Linked DNA regions of Kluyveromyces lactis. The protein of the gene in region 5 interacts with the protein of the main gene of each other region in a pairwise test. Links are inferred from orthologs where the notes say so. Each region holds a gene or a part of one and is shown on either strand. Other genes may lie near its edges.

Evidence for each region.
Region 1: the proteins of SRP1 (region 5) and KLLA0_F19360g interact in a two-hybrid assay, tested with the Saccharomyces cerevisiae proteins (2 studies listed by BioGRID). The link is inferred for Kluyveromyces lactis from reciprocal best matches to the Saccharomyces cerevisiae genes SRP1 and YPL088W.
Region 2: the proteins of SRP1 (region 5) and CBC2 interact in binary tests that used the Saccharomyces cerevisiae proteins (3 or more experiments, as listed by UniProt). The link is inferred for Kluyveromyces lactis from reciprocal best matches to the Saccharomyces cerevisiae genes SRP1 and CBC2.
Region 3: the proteins of SRP1 (region 5) and FOL2 interact in a two-hybrid assay, tested with the Saccharomyces cerevisiae proteins (2 studies listed by BioGRID). The link is inferred for Kluyveromyces lactis from reciprocal best matches to the Saccharomyces cerevisiae genes SRP1 and FOL2.
Region 4: the proteins of SRP1 (region 5) and FBP1 interact in a two-hybrid assay, tested with the Saccharomyces cerevisiae proteins (2 studies listed by BioGRID). The link is inferred for Kluyveromyces lactis from reciprocal best matches to the Saccharomyces cerevisiae genes SRP1 and FBP1.
Region 6: the proteins of SRP1 (region 5) and THI4 interact in a two-hybrid assay, tested with the Saccharomyces cerevisiae proteins (2 studies listed by BioGRID). The link is inferred for Kluyveromyces lactis from reciprocal best matches to the Saccharomyces cerevisiae genes SRP1 and THI4.
Region 7: the proteins of SRP1 (region 5) and CDD1 interact in a two-hybrid assay, tested with the Saccharomyces cerevisiae proteins (2 studies listed by BioGRID). The link is inferred for Kluyveromyces lactis from reciprocal best matches to the Saccharomyces cerevisiae genes SRP1 and CDD1.

What each region holds. Positions count from the first base shown.
Region 1 is NC_006042.1:1,791,339-1,794,312, forward strand, and holds KLLA0_F19360g (aldo-keto reductase superfamily protein), read left to right. Parts: upstream 1-1,439; coding exon 1,440-2,474; downstream 2,475-2,974. Other genes in the region: SUL2 (sulfate permease), read left to right, coding at 1-873. UniProt on the Saccharomyces cerevisiae protein: Putative aryl-alcohol dehydrogenase.
Region 2 is NC_006038.1:914,012-916,297, forward strand, and holds CBC2 (nuclear cap-binding protein subunit CBC2), read right to left. Parts: upstream 1,098-2,286; coding exon 501-1,097; downstream 1-500. Other genes in the region: KLLA0_B10450g (homeobox domain-containing protein), read left to right, coding at 1-35.
Region 3 is NC_006037.1:853,663-856,205, forward strand, and holds FOL2 (GTP cyclohydrolase I), read right to left. Parts: upstream 1,239-2,543; coding exon 501-1,238; downstream 1-500. Other genes in the region: KLLA0_A09757g (uncharacterized protein), read right to left, coding at 1,744-2,337. UniProt on the Saccharomyces cerevisiae protein: GTP cyclohydrolase 1 is the first enzyme in the biosynthetic pathway leading to folic acid.
Region 4 is NC_006041.1:124,962-127,847, reverse strand, and holds FBP1 (fructose 1,6-bisphosphate 1-phosphatase), read right to left. Parts: upstream 1,569-2,886; coding exon 501-1,568; downstream 1-500. Other genes in the region: 1-acylglycerol-3-phosphate O-acyltransferase SLC1, read left to right, coding at 1-304; PBP4 (Pbp4p), read left to right, coding at 2,621-2,886.
Region 5 is NC_006040.1:729,689-733,120, reverse strand, and holds SRP1 (karyopherin alpha), read left to right. Parts: upstream 1-1,315; coding exon 1,316-2,932; downstream 2,933-3,432. Other genes in the region: KAR1 (Kar1p), read left to right, coding at 3,421-3,432. UniProt on the Saccharomyces cerevisiae protein: Functions in nuclear protein import as an adapter protein for importin beta nuclear receptors. Binds specifically and directly to substrates containing either a simple or bipartite NLS motif. Promotes docking of import substrates to the nuclear envelope.
Region 6 is NC_006037.1:13,737-16,691, forward strand, and holds THI4 (thiamine thiazole synthase), read right to left. Parts: upstream 1,476-2,955; coding exon 501-1,475; downstream 1-500.
Region 7 is NC_006040.1:1,552,616-1,554,928, reverse strand, and holds CDD1 (cytidine deaminase), read right to left. Parts: upstream 945-2,313; coding exon 501-944; downstream 1-500. Other genes in the region: SND1 (Snd1p), read left to right, coding at 1,897-2,313. UniProt on the Saccharomyces cerevisiae protein: This enzyme scavenges exogenous and endogenous cytidine and 2'-deoxycytidine for UMP synthesis.

The DNA.
Region 1 (2,974 bases), on a different chromosome or scaffold from region 5:
TTGGGTTATGTTGAAATTTGTCAAGTTAGTAACGCTGAAGTTGATGAAAACATCGATCGCATCGTACTCTCTGAAGATTCTCAGCCTAAGACTATCGAAGATAACGTTACCAAAAACAACACTGCGGTAAAAGTTGGAGTCGTAGCGAATGAGTCTTTCGGCCATTCTCAATTACAATATCATACTAAATGGCTACCACTGAATAACCACTATCAGCGTGAATTAAATCCAGATGTTGTAGTACAAGCACCTCCTCCTGGTGTGATTGTATACAGACCAAGTGAATCATGGACATATGTTAACTGTTCTAGACAGTACGATACCATTTTCGACAGAGTAAAAGAACTGACAAGACCAGGAAAGCTTTTGAAACATGTAAGCAAACATGATAAGATGTGGAATGATCCAGGTGAGTGGGAACCTCCATTTTTAGTGAAAAAGCTATTTAAGTTGGGGAACAAACATGATCTTGAAGGTGGCGAAGTAATTGATGAGAGACCTGTTTTGAAGATCCTTGCTATGGACTGGTCCCAAGTGACTCAGATTGATTCCACGGGTGTTCAAAACTTGGTCGACTTAAGAAAGGCCATTAACAAATATGCTAATAGACAGGTAGAATTCCATTTCAGTGGAATCATCTCGCCTTGGATCAAGAGATCTTTAATCAATGCTGGATTCGGTACTGTCAATGAGGAATTCAGCGATGAATCAATCATCGTAGGACATACAAGTTATAGTTTGGTCAAGAATAGACCTGATTTGCAAGATCCAGAAGCGGCGTTACCTGAACCAATAGCACTTCATACCGCTTTAGGTGTAAACTTACCATTCTTCCATTTGGAAATGCCAGAATTTCATAAATGGCACCTATGAAAGGTGTAGCATTACTATTTCGCATACTTCTTCTTCTTCAGTATATATATTCATATATACTTAACTACTTCTAATTTAATTTACTGAGTAATGACGCGGTCAGGCACTACAATAAAATTGACACTATGCCATCAACTACAATATATTGAAATCGCGACGGAAATCACGTGTACATAACTCAAATTGTTTAGTCGATACGACGTTCCCCTTATTTATTCAAAGTCACAGAGAATGAATGTTGAGAATATTTTTATGATCAAGAGCACTCACCTATGGCAACAAAAAGCGGCCGGTTTCACTTCTGACTAATAGAATGCAAAATTCAGACTTTGATCCGTGGGTGTTATCAGTGGATTAGTTACTGGATTAATAATACAAAGAATCGTATAAATGGAAGACGTAGAGATAAACGAAAAAAGGTAAATAAATTCAGTAGAGACACCATCCAACTTCCATTCGGAAGTATATATAGGTAGCATTTCCATAAGTATTGTTTAAGTCCAACATTGAAACCCAATTAAAAAAGGTTCAGCAAATTCGAGAAGCAAAGACTGTAGAACATCAAGATGTCATTGTTGAAGCAAGTAAGATTAGGACGTTCAGGGTTGAAGATCTCACCCATTCTGATTGGTTGTATGAGTTATGGATCTAAAGATTGGGCTGCATGGGTTGAAGATGACAAGGAAAAGATCTTTTCTACTTTGAAATACTGTTACGATCATGGGTTACGTACATTTGACACGGCAGACTTCTACAGCAATGGATTAAGTGAGAAATTGGTCGGTGAATTCTTGAAGAAGTACAACATCCGTAGAGAGACCGTTGTAATCTTGACGAAAGTGTACTTCCCGGTTGATGAAGATCTCGAATTGAGCCACAGCAATGGATTTACGGAAAACGATCTTTTGGATTTGACAAACCAACAAGGTTTGTCTCGGAAGCATATCCTTGCTGGAGTTACTGCAAGTTGTAAAAGGTTGGATACGTGCATTGATGTGTTACAAATTCACAGACTTGATCGTGAGACACCAATGGAGGAAATCATGAGATCATTGAACCATGTCGTTGAATCGGGACAAGTTCGGTACATTGGCGCTTCAACAATGCTAGCTACGGAATTCGTTGAATTGCAATCTATTGCAGAAAGGTACGGCTGGCACAAGTTCATCAGTTCCCAGTCCTGCTACAACTTACTTTACAGGGAAGATGAAAGGGAACTTATTCCATATTTGAAGAGACATGGTGTCGGAATGATCCCATGGTCTCCAAATGCCAGAGGAATTCTTTGCAGGCCAGTAAGCCAACAATCGAATTCTAAACGGTATGAGACCGATGGTAGAATTAAGGGCAGACAATTGGATCAATTACAACCTCAGGAAACAGAAATCGTCAATAGAGTGGAAGACTTGGCCAAGAAGCATGGTGTCAGTATGGCCGTAGTATCATCGGCATGGGTCCTAGCCAAAGGTGGTTATCCCATTGTCGGTCTAAGTTCCATTGACCGTGTGAAAGAAATTATCTCCGCTACCGAATTGAAACTCTCCGAAGAAGAAATACAGTACTTGGAACAACCGTACCTACCAAAACCGCTTATCTTGTAAATCATACGTGGAATACAATAGATAGGGTAAATAAGTACATGAATACATGAATAGAGGTATCACGTAGATCAGGTGTTCACTACGCTGGTATCGGTCATTTTATTTTAGCACCGATAGAAATCTGGAAGTCCCCAGTCACTATAGTGAATACTAAAAGAAAAAAAAAAGAATCATCAGACTCGAGAAAACTGCACGGCTGGTCCTCTGAGCGAATAAGTTCCCAAGAAATGTGCACCAGGGAGTCGGACAACAGTATTGTAAAAATGAAGAGATGCTGCTGAATAGTAGAAGCATCTACCAGCATCTACAAGTGTCTACAAGTGCCTTCAATGTAGAATCTTATGATTATCCTAAGTACATCCGATATACTTTATACTTCCGTTGTAGAAAAGAACAGAGAACCCTGAACAAGGAATCACGGGGGAAACAGGCACAACATACTTGATGGTTCCGTTTCCGAATGAAAGCAACCCCCCATAGGAACCTGATATCCCCACCTC
Region 2 (2,286 bases), on a different chromosome or scaffold from region 5:
TGCCCCCACCTTCTCATCGTCGACAACCATCGTGACATTTGTCGTAATGCATATCATAAATCTACACTTTTTCGGTTATCGTTTAGCATGCATGAGAAGAAGATTTTACCCCTTCATATTAAGGTGGTCTTTTCTTTCTCCTAATTCTTTATATTCTTAATTTTTTTTGTTTTGTCTACGGTCAATCTTCAATTCCAGCTGTCACGAGCTCATTATAAGGCACAGCTTTAACTTTCTTTCATTTATTAGTTTATTAGTGTTTGTCTGCTCTTTTATCTACCATCCATTCATTTCACCCAACTCCTATTGATGGATTAAAGCGGCAAAATTTTTTATTATATCGAGATATCTTTAGCTCTAATATGAACTAGCTATATATTCAAATAAAATACTTCTTACCACAGTATTATTCTTTTAAATCAATTAACTTAGTGAAATAGGTACTTAGATTGAAATGTGATATATACACATCGATAAACGACCTTATGATTGTACTGTTTTTATTGGCCTGGAATGTAAGCATCTTCATCTTCTTCATATTCTTCATCCTCTTGCTGTATTGGAATGTTTTTAACTCTTCTGGCCCCGAAGTTGGCATTTGTTCCAATTCTATTCTCAAGTGGAGTGTAGAACCCACCTCTGGACGCATCGAATTCGAATCTCATCTCATCACTAACTTGACCACCATTCTTACCTCTACCGAACTGTCTTCCCTCTTCGAACCCAGGATCCAAGTCAATGGTTATATGACGGTCATCTAACTTCGTGTCACCCAAGTATTTTATAGAATTCAATGCGTCTTCCATCTTATCGAATATAATAAAACAAAATCCACACGGCGTAAACTTGAACCTATCTAGACCCATGATAATCTTTTTTATGGTGCCACATTTGGAGAATAGCTCATATATTTGCTCTTCACTTGTGTAAAACGATAGATTACCCACATAAACTGTACAGGATTTCATAGATTTTCTCAACTGTTGCAATCCAGAATCTGGGTCACGTCTAGCCTTACGGATCAAATAACGAGAGGGCTTATCTAACCTATCACAACTGTGATCGTACTTAATCTCATCAAACTCCGCTAGAGACATGGTATTTGCTTGACTGATGCTAGTTTGGGGTATTTGGAGTTTATCTGGAGCTATGGTGTCTTATGAACCTATAGATTTTACTTAATCATTTCAATCCCAAATTTAAAGTTGAATGAATCTTTCAAGTTTTTTTTTTTTTTCCATATAAGCCATATTATAAGTACTGAATACTTTGTGTCAGTGACAGGTTGTGAAAAATCAAATAAACAAATCGGGTGGACACTGCATCGAAGCTCTTGACTGCTGAGAAAGAATAATAAGTAACTTTCAATTAATTAAATTTGAGACTATCCAGTGGTTTCTCTGGAAAAATATTGTTATGCACTCTACTTTGACAGAAATGATTCTCAATAGCCATAAGGGAAATGTGGGAAGATACCATTTTAGAATTCATAACACACCCCCATGCCACCAAGAAGAATAAGATCCCTGTTAAATAGGTGCTGATTGTTAAAATTGACTACACAAGTATTTCCAAGAGATTCAGCTACATACTAACAATATCTGAAGAGAAGGTTTCAAGTGATACTGTTTCCATAATAAAAACTAATGTTGATTTCTATTTTGTATGGTTACTATCCGATATAGTGTAACGGCTATCACATCACGCTTTCACCGTGGAGACCGGGGTTCGACTCCCCGTATCGGAGTATTTTTGAAATTTTTTGCTTTTGCCAACAACCCAACAACTGAAAATAATGAAGATCGACATTAACGAGCGGACCGTGATATATGATACTGATAACTAATCCGTCACAATATATACCACTGTAGAGGCAGTAAACTATCAAGATAGAATTAGCAGCAGTACCTGTTTACCACACATTGGATACGTAATACAATGACATATACGGTATAGACGACAAGAAAACAAACAAACTGATAGACATGAATACCAAAGTATTTCAGACATTTATGAGATGAGATATGGTTGAATTGTTATAAAGATTAGAAAACGTATGTCGAAAAACAAGTAGTTGAAAATTGTATTGGCCTAGTGTAAAAAGGAAGTAAAAATGAGAAAAAGAAATCAGTGATTGTGACAGTATTATGATATTGTATTTCAAGATTGAGAAAGGTGCGAACGAACGGAATTACTATTATCAGTATAATAAAGCCATAAAAGGAGAGAAATGAAATATTCATCAATGATTCATGATACACTATGTATGAAAATTTGTAGAAAAGG
Region 3 (2,543 bases), on a different chromosome or scaffold from region 5:
GTATAACAATCTCAATATTATTATCTTTATACATATAGGCGTTAAAATTAGAATTAAATATAGAAGTTGAAGCAATACTGGGCTGGCAGTAATCTTACAGATATTTTTTCCGGTTCAAGAGGAGAGTACGAAATAAAACAAGGTGTAACGAGCGTTGAAAGCTCTTGATGGAAACAAATTAAATTGGTAATTGATGTTTCATGAAGTTGAATGCATGTAAACTGAGTAAAAAAAAAATTGAAATGAATCTCTATAAGGTGTGTGATGAGGAAAAGTTTTGCTCGTGCCTGTGCCTTGCACAAGTATGCGTATAACTTGAAAAGCTGGTACCTTATAATGCGAGTAGTAATTATTATTGGATGTTCTATTATCTTTCCATTCCTCTTGCTGTTGAAACAATTAAAAAACCGGTATCGTATTGTATCTCTTATGCTTGTAGATAATCAAAGTCAAAAAAAAATTTTTAAAGGTAGCTTAAAACCAGGTCTAATGATGAATCATCAGTACCTTCTGCCCAAAAGGTTTAAGAATTCTTCTCTTGTCTTGTGTGATTCTCGCAAGTATCCCAACATACAAGAAGTGACAGTGGAAGAACCAGTTTTTTGGACACCACGAGACACCATACACATATGAGTAGCCTCGATGACCACAGCGACACCTCTAGGTTTCAAGATATCACTCAAAGCCATAGCAATTTGCTTCGTTAAACGTTCTTGTACTTGGAAACGTCTAGCGTACATCTCTGCTAAACGAGCCAATTTCGATAAACCCAACACCTTCTTATTAGGAATGTATCCAATATGAACTTTACCGAAAAATGGCACCAAATGATGCTCGCACAAAGAGAAGATCTCAATGTCACGAACAATAACCATCTCGTCATGATCTTCCTCGAACACAGCATTCTTAATCACATCGTTCATGATATTATCCTGATAGCCTTTAGTGAAATACAACATCGCTTTAGCGTACCGTGTAGGGGTATCCAGTAAACCCTCACGTTCGGTATCCTCACCGAGCTCACTCAAAATAGTCTTAACCGCATCTGCAATACGACCAACCCGTTTTTGTTCTTCTTCATCCGTTTCCTCTGCTCTTTCACGAGCACCAATACTAGGCCATGATAAACCGTCTTTTTCCACAGTAGGATTTAAGGTATAAGGCGAAGCTGGACGAATGTTCAAAGGAGTAGCACGTCTTTCAATCTGAGAGACGTGCGAGATATGTTTGTTTTCCATTATTGAATATAGCTAGCTGTATGGGTTACCTGATATGGGTTACTAATCCATGCAAAAGAAAGACCCTATAAATATGTGATACTGGTCAGACAACGGGACTTGTTGAGAGAAGCCGACAGAAGGAGACACGTACGCACAAACTAACACACAAAACGACAAACTTTCACTGAATTATCCAATCAGTTAAAGCTTGAAAGAGCCAACCCAAAATCGAAAACTTTACAATGGAACAAATGCATATGGTACGCTTTATACCTCTTGTTTCCTATAACTCGAACTCATCGAAATTTTTCACTTTTTGTCATACAAGGAAAAAAAGTAAAACTGTGGAAACACCGTACCATGAGAAGCAGCAATTAGACATGACTAGTTACTCTATCATGTGCTACCTCAGCCAGTACCCTGCTATTGAATGTTGTTAATGGACAAACATGAAATGAATAGAAATTAATTATGTACAATTTTACTTAAACAGTGTAGAGTTTGGGCGAATCAGATGATCAAACTAGTAGGTTGGTCCAGTAAGAATCCTGCCAAGACCGTAGCATACGGGACACGGTTCTTTATCCAAGAAGAATCGTACCCTACCAGTCCCATTGCAATTGTTACACATCATGCCTCCTATGCGACTGTCACCGGGACGCACAACGATAGGTGCTGAGTTTATGACGAAATTCTGTGGTGGCATCGTGACATTAGAGTATACGAACGCAGGTCTTGGCCCTGCACTTGGACGTGGTGGTTGTGCAGGTGGGGGTTTGTAGAATTTCGACCAACATTTCTTACATTTTTGTTGAGTCTTGATCTTGGTGCCAGTGTTCCCGCATTTTTTACAATAATATCCTGGAGGGTACGTCCAGGGTAGTTTCTTATTGCCAGTACTGGTACTGGTACTGCTTGAAAAGGTACTAGTGGAATGATGGTACGCTGGTATGGCATTGCTTGGCCGGGGCGGTCTTGCTGGTGGTTGTGTTGGACGTGGTGGAGGGTTTGGTGGGAGCTGCTGCTGCTGCTGCGAAGCAGCAGCAGTATCTTGTCTCAGCACTTCATCATACGACGGAAGATGCTCATCTGGCTGTATATCTGATTCTGATTTCATTGAAGTATTCTCAAAGTGACTGGTTCTCTGATCTCTGTTCTTTACTGATCCCGATCCCGTTCTCCATACACTTTTCTTTGACTAAATATATGTCCCTTATATATCTTGATCTTTTATATATACGTGATTTATTTGGCAGATGCACCTAAAATGAGGAAACCCTATAGCACGACGGCTGCAATGTGGACGAATCCCGATCCTAAACT
Region 4 (2,886 bases), on a different chromosome or scaffold from region 5:
GCCAATTAGCACGGAAAATTTGAAGAAAGAAGACGTAGGTGATCTATGTAACCGTGTTCACAAGTTGATGAACGACGAGCTGAAAAATATTGGATACTCCGAAGCCATCGTGGATACCGTTTTACCTGCAGATGTGATCGCGTATAACTCTGCCAGACGTTTTGAAGATCAGCATCGTTTGACTGCAGATGATTACGAAGAGGAAATAGTTGACCTGGACCGTTCTTCTATTCACTCTAATGGGACTGTTGTGACCAATCCAGAACCCACTGAACGTAGTAGTTTACTCAAAGAAGTTATTTAGAGAATATAAATAAGAGATTCTTACTTTTTATATTTAACAGTACTTTCTATAATACAAGAGAATGTATGATAAATGTAAATACTGGAATCGTGAAATAGTTATTCAAGGTCGGTTATTAATTTATTTTTAATGTGGTATTTCATGAATTATTATGTTACTTAATTTTCTTCTGTTGATGGGAGGTTCGTATACGTATTTACAACTTACCGATATGCTTTAAATATTTATCAACGTCTCCAGAGCTACCTAACCAGATACTGCTTTTGTCGTGAATATGTTGAGGGACCAAATCCAAGATACGTTCACCTCTATCATTAACGGCTTTACCACCAGCTTGTTCAACAAGGAAAGCCATTGGGAATGCTTCATATAACAATCTTAACTTCCCGTTAGGATTTTTCTTATCACCTGGGTAAGAGAATAAACCACCATATAGTAAAGTTCTGTGTACGTCAGCGACCATTGAACCGATGTAACGAGCAGAGTAAGGCTTACCGTTATTTTCTTCGCTGTTTTCCTTCAACTTGGCAATGAAATCAGCGATAGTTGGTTCCCAATAGCAGGTGTTCCCCTCATTGATGGAGTAAATAGATTTTTGCTCAGGTAGTCTCAATTCTGGGTAAGTCAAGATAAATTCACCCAAGTTATTGTCCAAAGTGAACCCATTGACACCTGCACCGGTAGTTAAAACCAAATGCGTGGACGCACCGTACATAGTGTAACAAGCAGCAACCATTTCTCTACCGCAACGAGCAACATCGTTGATGGTACCCTCACTATCTTCTTCCCCAGAGTTACCATTCTGATTCTCATGAATCTTGAACAGAGAGACAATGGTACCCACTGAGACACCAGCATCCAAGTTAGACGAACCATCAATTGGGTCACAACATACCGCGTATTTACCAGGGCTGTTACGGAAAACGATCAAATCTTCTTGTTCTTCAGACACAAGTACCTTGACGTTACCAGACGCTTTCATAGCATTGATGAAGATTTCATCACCCAACACATCCAACTTCTTTTGCTGGTCACCGGTACTATTTGAAGCACCAGCCAATCCGATCAAGTTAACCAATTCAGCACGTCTAATTGTTTGAGAAATAAATTTAAATGCAAACTGCAAAGAGTTCAAAAGCATAGAAAACTCCCCAGTGGCATTTTTCGCAGAAAGATGCTGTTGGTCCAAGATAAAACGGGACAACGTGATGATGTCGGTATTGATAGACTCAGCTGAGTCTCTTCTGTGTTTAATACCAGCCATTTATTAATTATTTAATCGGGATATGCGAAGCTTCGGAAGGGAAATGAATTGAATAGTCTTCTTTCTACTTGATTATGCCTTTAATTTGAAACTAATGCTCGAATCCAATAATAAGTCATAAAGTGCTGAAGAGGATCGAAATCATAAAACTGGTTTGAATCCAATTTATATACACTAAAATAAGGATCAAACAGACAATATACACGACTTACATCCATACGCAAGTAGCGGACAACGCAACGGATTAATTCGGAAAATTCTACCCCCGAAGAAACCAACGAAGCCAGTTCATTACTCTGTCTGATATCGATTATCTGGTCTCTGAATTTCTTCTAGCTTTGAAAAATCGCAAGAACCGCACCATTTCTGGCGCGAAGGAAACAAAAGAAAAACAGAATGAGAAAAGCTCGCTATGGACGCAGTATGGCACGTAGTGTGCTAAGGCATTTCCTAGTCACTTGAAACAGAACATGATTTGCAAGTACTATTTGATTATGTGTTTTCTGTAGCGATTTAAGGTGATTTTGCTCATAACACTGAGAGGGAAAATAAAAAAAAAGGTTTTATTGATCTTCAAATTAAATGAATCTGGGGTCATATATCGTGATGTGTGGGTTCATTGGAGCTCCGGGAACATGTTTTCGTCTTTGGTTTTCCAATTTCTGCCAGTGCTGTATCGGTAGTGGGGGGGAACCAGAGGGGCGACCGGGAGAATTTATGTATGTGTGGTTGATGGGTGTTTGACAAGTAGATTTAAATACCGTGATATTACCCGGATATCTCGTGAAAAGTAACTGAGATCCGTCCAAAAATTCGGGTCACGTGTTCTGGTCTACTGCAATAAGAAAATCTAACATGAAGAAGCGATTTCGGCATATTCCTTTGATCAGTTGTAACAATCGTCAAGGTAGAGCGGAAGTAAGCTCCATCAAATCGTTCCTTGTGTACACGATTGTATTTCCATAGGATCTCTCTTTCGCCGTCTGGTAACGTACTTTTCCGTTGGGAATAAATAGAATTATCCATCCGGTTTTCCTATACACTGCTTAACAATGGCTAATGCTTGGCAAAGTAAGAAACTTGGTGCTTGGGGAAGTGAAAGCTCTGCGTTGAAAAAAAAAAGTATGGCATATACGACCGCTTCTCCCACTTCTGCTTCAGCCATTCCTACTCCAGTAACAAGTGAAAATACCAGTAGAAGTAGTATCTCTTCGCAGGACTCACGCAGTAACAAGAAAAAAAATAACAACAGCAATGGGCAGAATTCCCAAACGAACCAAGCATCATATGTTCATTCTAAACCACCGTTCAACCACGA
Region 5 (3,432 bases):
TCTACTACCTTACCTATGTCGTTGCTGCGTGTCGTGAATGTGTGTCGTGTGTCGTGTCGCGTGCTAACAAATTTTTTGTTTTGAGTGTAAGTGTATTGTGTTAAATTAACACAGTATATACTACTCAATCTCATCTATCTGTGTCCTAATTTGAAAATTATTCCATTTCATGAATGAAAAAAAATTGACGTTTATGAACCGTACAGCAGTGTGTGTGTTGTGAAAATTCATAATCGTCGATATTTGGAGTATATATATAACAAAAAGGAATGGAGTGCAGTAGGTGAACCGTGTTTCTTTCTTGGCGTTGAATTCTGAATCTTTCCCGCCTGTTCATTCGAGCACTCATTTATTTGTGAGGGACATTTTCAAAATGCTGCTAGAGAGAACATGTCAATAAAACATCAACTGAGCGGTTTTGTCCATTCCTTTTTCTCTCCCTCAAATCATTCCATCCATCTCCAATACCCAGTGAATGTATTTTTGATGCTTACTAAAGGGGGAAATAGAAAAAGGAACTTATGCTAGTTGATTGTATCACAATTCTTTCGCTTCTACTCTCATCAACTTACCCTCATGTATACTTTAGTGTGTGTGTATCATGAGAATGAATGAGGAACGAAAACAAGGAATCCCCGGTGATATATTTATATTACCAACCATCCCAAATATATTATGTATACGTATATACATCTCTTAATATGTGTTGAAAAGTGTGTCAAATTGACCCTGCCCATCTTTTCCTGTCTTTTGATGTTAGAACCTTTGTCGTTTTCTTACACGAGGTTGGTATGTCACGTGACAACTCCGTACATCACGACTATCTGGCAAAGAAATTTCAACCAAAAAAAAAAATTCGAATTTTTTGGATGGCCAAAAAAGAAGGATTTTAATCAAGATGGATATTATATGGGATTGAATAAAAGATTGGTTTGCATTCTACTTCAATTACACTGTTACATATATAAAACAATACGGTGCTCTTGGCTTCCGATATATTTTTCTGTCAAGCAATACAAAGAAACGAATCAGATTTTCATTTACTCAAGGGGAAACGCTATTTGTGATTGTTAGAGATTGATTTTGCGACTGATAATTTCTTCTTTAAATCCAACTTCTCTTTATTTTTGTTTGATTTGGAACCCATTTGCAAAAATATCTACTTGAAAAGACGGGACGATCAATTGTGATTGTGAGTTTGGTAGAAAGGAATTAGTTACAATCTTTTTTTTTACTTCTCTGAATTTTCTTTGGTTCGCGGCTAGCACGAAGGATCAGATAGCAGGTATCCGTTTTATTATTTTATAAGTGAAAGATGGACGGTGACACTTCCAGCAAGTTTGTTCCTGAATACAGGAGGACAAACTTCAAGAATAAGGGTAGATTCTCTGCTGATGAATTACGTCGTCGTAGAGACGTTCAACAAGTCGAGTTGAGAAAAGTCAAGAGGGATGAGGCATTAGCAAAAAGAAGAAATTTCAATGCGCCTGTTGGTAACGATTCTGATGATGAAAATGATGATGATGACGATCAGGACTCCTCTTTCTACAGACAATTACAACAGGAGTTGCCTGCTATGTTGGAACAAATCCATTCTAACGATCTACAACAACAGTTGGCTGTGACGGTCAAGTTTAGACAAGTCTTGTCTAGAGAACACAGACCACCTATCGATTTGGTTATCAGTACTGGCGTAGTGCCAACCTTGGTCCAATTCATGAGCGAAAATCAACCTGAGATGTTGCAATTGGAAGCTGCTTGGGCGTTGACGAACATTGCTTCTGGTACTTCTGAGCAGACTAGAGTCGTCGTAGATGCGGGTGCTGTGCCATTATTCATTCAATTATTATATTCAAACTCGGTTGAAGTGAAGGAACAAGCTATTTGGGCCTTGGGTAACGTTGCTGGTGATTCCACCGATTATAGAGACTACGTTTTGCAATGTGGTGCCATGCAACCAATTCTATATTTGTTCGAATTGAACAAGACTTCCTTGATTAGAACAGCTACGTGGACTTTATCTAACTTGTGTCGTGGTAAGAAACCTCAACCAGATTGGTCTATCGTGTCTCAAGCTTTGCCAACTTTGTCTAAGCTAATCTACTCCATGGATACTGAAACGTTAGTCGATGCTTGTTGGGCTATCTCATATCTTTCCGATGGCCCGGTTAATTCGATCCAAGCGGTAGTAGATGCTAGAATCCCAAAGAGACTTGTAGAACTACTATCCCACCAATCTACGTTAGTGCAAACCCCTGCTCTAAGAGCTGTAGGTAACATTGTCACAGGTAACGATTTGCAAACTCAGATCGTTATCAACTGTGGAGCCTTGGCAGCTCTAAGAAATCTATTGGCTTCTCCAAAGGAATCCATAAGAAAGGAAGCTTGTTGGACCATCTCTAATATAACCGCTGGTAATACGGAACAGATTCAAGCCGTTATTGATGCTAACTTAATTCCACCATTAATCAGATTGTTGGAAACTGCAGAATATAAGACAAAGAAAGAAGCATGTTGGGCCATCTCGAATGCCTCTTCTGGTGGGTTACACAAGCCAGAAATTATCAGATATTTGGTCAGTCAAGGCTGTATAAAACCATTGTGCGATCTATTAGAGATTGCTGATAACAGAATCATAGAGGTTACACTAGATGCTATAGAAAATATTTTGAAGATGGGTGAAATGGATAGAGAAGTCAGAGGTATTGCCGTGAACGAAAATGCTGATTTCATTGAGAAAGCTGGTGGTATGGAAAAGATCTTCAATTTACAGTCTAATGCTAACGAAAAAATTTACGAAAAGGCCTTCAAGATCATTGAAAAGTACTTTAGTGATGAAGATGATGTTGTTGATGAATCTATGGCTCCACAAACAGCTGGTAACACTTTTGGATTTGGATCAAATGTCAACCAGCAATTCAACTTCAATTAAAACCAACTCTAGCTGTGCGTGTGTCATGTAATTACATTTGCTTTTTTTATTCTAGACAATAAATGAATACTACGCGCCTGTTAAATATCATATAATTTTTGCATTAATGTAATCTATCTATAGTATTATTAATCTACACTTCTCCCTTCATTGTGAAACAGAATTCTATGTCATTAAAGGGCCCAAGTCTTATTTGCAGTTTTGAACCACGATAAAAGTAAAAACTGTGCTCAAAAAACAGTATCATGGACCTTCTCTCTGTCATAGAAATTAGGTGACCAGTTAGGTGCATATCACTTTCGGTGTTACCTCTACATGTTCCGATGCATAATATCAACATTTAAAGGTTTGGATTTTTGTAAACCTTTAAAAATACACAATCGAAATTTCCTCGGTGAAACATCGCCTATAATCACACGAAAAGGAAATATCCAATGCATATGTGCTACTTCAAAGCTCGGAGTTGAATATTACGCTGATGCGATAATATGAGTTCAATG
Region 6 (2,955 bases), on a different chromosome or scaffold from region 5:
GACAACACTCAGATACTTTTTCGTTTCATCACTAATTAACAATACGGTCTACTATGCAGTAGAAGTTTTCAACAAAATATTTCTGCCGGAACTAAAATGCTTGTTGAGGGAAAGTACTGACATGAAAAGCACTTTATTTAGTAAGGTTTTATGCATTCGTTCCTCTTTGTATAAGATATATTTTTAATAACTGATCGGTATAGTAACGTCTGCTTTTTGTGTTTTTGTTCATAGAAGGTACCATGGAGTGACTCGGTACATTAAACTTGTAGCTGGCTGATTATTATGCGACAAAATCTTTAGAAGTCTGAAAAATTCCCTTCGAAACAGCAAAATTGATAGCTCCCCAATTGGTATGCTGAAGTATTTATTAAACATTTCCTTGTGATTTCATGGAAGAAATGTTCAGAGGCCATTAGCAGTCATAAAGTGTGTCGATAAAAAGCTATATAAAACTAGACACTAAGTAAAAAATTGAGGTAAAAATCCCCTTGATTCAATCAAGCAGCAAAGTGCTTCAAGATATCTTCAGCAGCCTTGATACCACTAACAGCCATAGCACCGAAAGTTGGACCCATTCTATTCAAACCAGCATGTTCAGCAACTTCCATACCAGCAAAGTAAACTGAACCAACCTTATCGTATGCACCAGCGTTCTTAACAACAGCGTCTTCAGCTCTGTTCATGTCCAAACCCTTCATACCAGCGTAGGACTTAGAGGAATCGATGGAAGCCATACGTTTAACAGTGAAAGCACCAAATGGACCATCGTGACCACAACAAGACAAGATAACACCATGCTTCTGTGATAAATCCCTTTCGCCATTATCCTTGTAACCAGACAATTCGATGACGTTTGGATCCATACAAGATTGGGTGTCGTGATTTTGAGTGACTAGAGTCCAGTTAGTAACAACACCAGCGACGTTGACGTGCTGAGAATTATCATCGGCTGGTCTGGTGACAAGATCTTCAACTGCAGTAGCATTGAACATCTTCACGTTAGGGAACTTCAATACTTCACTCAATACAGTAGACATGAACAAAGCAGCGTGTTTAACAACAACGTAATGACCCTCATCTTCATATGGAATGTTCAATTCGTCCAAGAATTTGTCTGCTGGTTTACGCATGATCATGGCAGAGAACAATTGACCTCCTAACCAACATCCACCACCTGGAGCAACGTTGGCTTCAATAATGGCAATTTTCAAGTCAGGTCTGTTCTTAGCAATGACGTATGCAGCAGATAGACCACTTGAACCTGCACCAATGATAACAACATCGGATACGGCGAACTTGTCCAAATCTTTGAAATAACGAGAGGTCATTGCACGAGAAACAGTTGCTTCCCTAATTGGAGCAAATGCAAAGTCTGACCAGTCGTCTTGTTTGACAACATCAGACAAACAGTGTTCGACACTTTGAGATTGGACTGATAGTTTGTTTTGAGTTTGAGTTTGGGTGGTAGACATTTTTGTTCTGTTGTTGCTACTTGTAAAGTATCCTTTGAATTTAGCTGCTACTGTTCTACAGCGAGAATCATTGATATAACACAAATATAATACCAGAAGGTTAAAAGGGAAAAGGTTGAAAGAGTGGGCCTTTTTATAATTTTAGTTCTCTAACTAGAATGCTCACTGCCTCTTAAACTTCGAACAAAGACCGTGGTTTCACGAGGCTTATCGTCACCCACAACGTTGGTTGGACATGAACCTGTTAGCATTCCATACCATATTACTTTGCCTTTTTTTTTTTTACTGTTAAAACTAATTTCCTTAATGTCTGTACCCTTACTCCGTTATTATACGAATAAGCGTCAGTTAGGAATATCTTGTTAACAGTGATAGAGATATCCGCCAAGGTTCCATGAAAATTGGCTGATTACCAAATCGAGAGTAAACGGGAAAGATAATCGTTCGTTTCCAAAAGAAAAATGCCCCCAAACGTTCTCTTTAACACATCAGTTGATCGCTCAGTAGATTTTGTCCTTTTTGTGAGTATTAACTCTTGGCCTTTAGTTGAATTTCTACCCTTTCTATCGCTGCATATAAAAAAAATACTGTTTTCCAGAGTAACTCTTAGAACAGGCGACAGTTTTTTTTTTGTTCTTTTCCAACATTACCTGCATCCCACACAATTTCCTTAAGGGACATAATTGCTGACGAGAGCATCGTAAATTAACATATACCTGTGTGTATGGTCTGGCGTTTGTCGATAGAAGACCTCATTGGCTGCCATTATTTGCAATTTGAGGTATGAACCGAAAACGAAGGTTTTTAGCTCATCGTTGGCGAAAAAACGTCAGTTTAGGGTGCAAAAAGTAAACTTGGTTGGAAAGAGATACAGGTAGCCCAAGATAGATGACGCAGTAGTACAAGATTTCTGAATTGAAATCTACATTTCCGGTCCATTGAAAGAGTTGTTTGAATTTATTTCGTGTTAAGATGTGGTAGCCTTTCTTCCTTCATTTTCAGTACATAGATACGTGAAAGGCGATTGGAACTATCCACCAGATCAAATTCGGTTATCCTATCCTTAGAATTGGCACTGACATGCCAACTTCTATGAATCAAGAATTACTTTTATTTTTTGGTACTCTAGGTGGGAAAGGCACGCATTGATTCACAATAGAGTGTCCAACGGTTTGAGACATTTTGGGTTGGCTGTTTCGACATCCAACTAGAAATAAATCACGTTTTGGTTATTTAAGTGAAGACAATACTTTGCCAGTTAAAATGCATAAGCCTGTGACTTGAAATTCTAATATTTGAGAGATTGTGAAGTGTCACCGGCTTTGGGCGGTTGGTTCTCTTCCTTAGAATACTTACCAAAGGGGTCTTTTTTACGATGTCGTTCATTGTATTGCATTGTTTTTTTGACCTCAGCGCATACCCATAATATCATTCGTCAACAATAAAGTCTAAAAAATATTAAAACAGTGAGGCATATCAG
Region 7 (2,313 bases), about 820 kb from region 5:
TTACAGCTGCTATGTCAGTAAGTGCAGTTCAGAAACACCTTCTATATCACTTGGAATACGTTTGGTATAAATAAGTGAGAGAGAGGAGTAGAAAGAGCTGTATCTGAGCTTCTCTCATCGCATCTCGTTCTCATGTTCTTTATTAAAGGTCGAAACAAAAAATTTTATTTGAAAAGTCAGATGAGTTTAAATGTCATACTTTTCTTTTAATTCTACAGTGCGAAGACTCCGCATTATCTATGACACATTTCTAAATATCTTAGGAACAACCTCGGTTTAGGGCGATTGAGAGAATAGTGCTTAGAAAATTTTGATTAACTGGCGGTTACTTCTGATCCTAAGTAGCTAGCTTATGAGAAGGTGTTTTCCAAAGGCATGTTTTCTTAACTTTCTCTCAAAACGCTAATGAATAATTACTATATAGAACTTTCTTGATTTTTGATTTCGTTTCTTACTATGGAAAAGTTCAAATCTTGCACAAAAAAGAGTCGAATCTTAGCTCACCTATGAAAGTGATCTGGGCCGAAGCTTTCTGGCAATAGTTCATTGAGGGTCATAATTTTTTTGACAGAGGTGTCGCAGTTTGTCATTATTATTGGCAGATCTTCTTTTCCAAACTCTCTGATCGTTTGCCGACAGATTCCACATGGCGGAATGTAATTATCTCTCATATCGCTGTTGATAGCGACACAAACCCAATCTGCTCTGTGGGAGCTTGTGACAGCTTTCACGATAGCAGCTCTTTCTGCACATATGGTGGCTCCATACGTAGCATTCTCCACATTGCTTCCTGTGATATAAGTACCATCTTTTGTCAGTATGCAACATCCGACCCTAAATTTTGAATATGGACTATAGGAACCACTTTTTGCTTTTTGACTCTCTAAAATGGCTCTATCTACCTGTGTAGGTTCAATACCGTCCAGTTTGCTCTTGATCTCCATTTTATACTGCAATGATGCGTATTCAGTAGCGAACTGGGTCCAGCGTGTATTATACGCTCGCCTCTTGGTTTCTTTATACAACGATGGCTGATATCTTCTTGTGTGAGAAATACATCGTTATCATATCGAGATTTTATATAATGAAATATGTCACTATCTGCTTGATTTCGTCTTGGCTGCTTTTACTTACAAAAAATTACCGTTGATCGCAAAGCACATATGAACTATATGTATGTAAATATAGTAAAGCTAACAGTTCCCGTTTGTCTACTGATACAGTTTTCCCGCCATATTAGATGCTCGCAGGGGTATAGTACGATGCTCTTCCTTAAGTCCTATCACGTTTTGTGTCATGCTAAACATGTACGAGGGTCCAAAAATTCTCGTCACGTGACCTGAAGTGTCAGCGCTCAAACTAAAGCGGAAGAAGAAAGAAAGAAGAAAGAAAAAAAAAACTGAAACTAGGTATAAGTCAGGAACGAGAAAAGGTGAAAGCTTGAACATAAAACAGCAGTTGTGGAAAGAGGAGAACGAGAAGCTGATTTCGCCTTACTTGACACCACTGCATTATTTTTTTTTTCCTATTTTAACGCAAAGGAGAGTACCTTTATCGCTGCTAACTTTGCTGAAGGACCTTGTGGTTTCCTTGTTTTCTTATTCACGTTGTCTTCGAATTAGTATACTTTTTTGTTTGGTTTGATTTGACTCATTTACTGGTGCAACTTCAATTATCGCTGGTTAAAGGTCAAAATTAATAAGCAGATTAGGTTTCCTAGTTTGAGAATTTGTTACATATCACTATTGCTTTTATTCTACTGGTTCTGAGCTGCAAATCAGATCCTGTAAGTCTGCGTCTTTCTCTTCTTATGATTCAACTACACCCATTCATAATCCGATTATTGAGGCATCCTTGATTTTATGCAAATACATCTCCAACGGATTACTATAATAAATGGATTCCTCCACTAATATAACATCACGGTTATGGAACCAGCAGGTTCATGAACCTTCAAAGGTTCGAGTACAGAATGTCGATTCTTTGTATCTCATCTCATATTGTGATCGGTTGACGCCGATCATGAGCAACTTTAACGTATATCTTTACATCGATATCCCAACGATTGATTATTATAATGATGAGCTTAAGGATAACAGGCTCTCTCGAATAAACAAAAAGTTTAAGTTGCATAGGCTGAGAGATAAAATTTTGAAGAGTATAATAGGTGAAAATGATGAACTTTGGACACTTTCAAGACAACTCGCAGGCGATTTTGATTTCCATTTGGAAATTTCTTCTAGTGGCTCATTGAGATACGTAGAGACAGTCAAGTTTTTGATAGAGACTGTTTGGACGGAACTAAAAGAAACT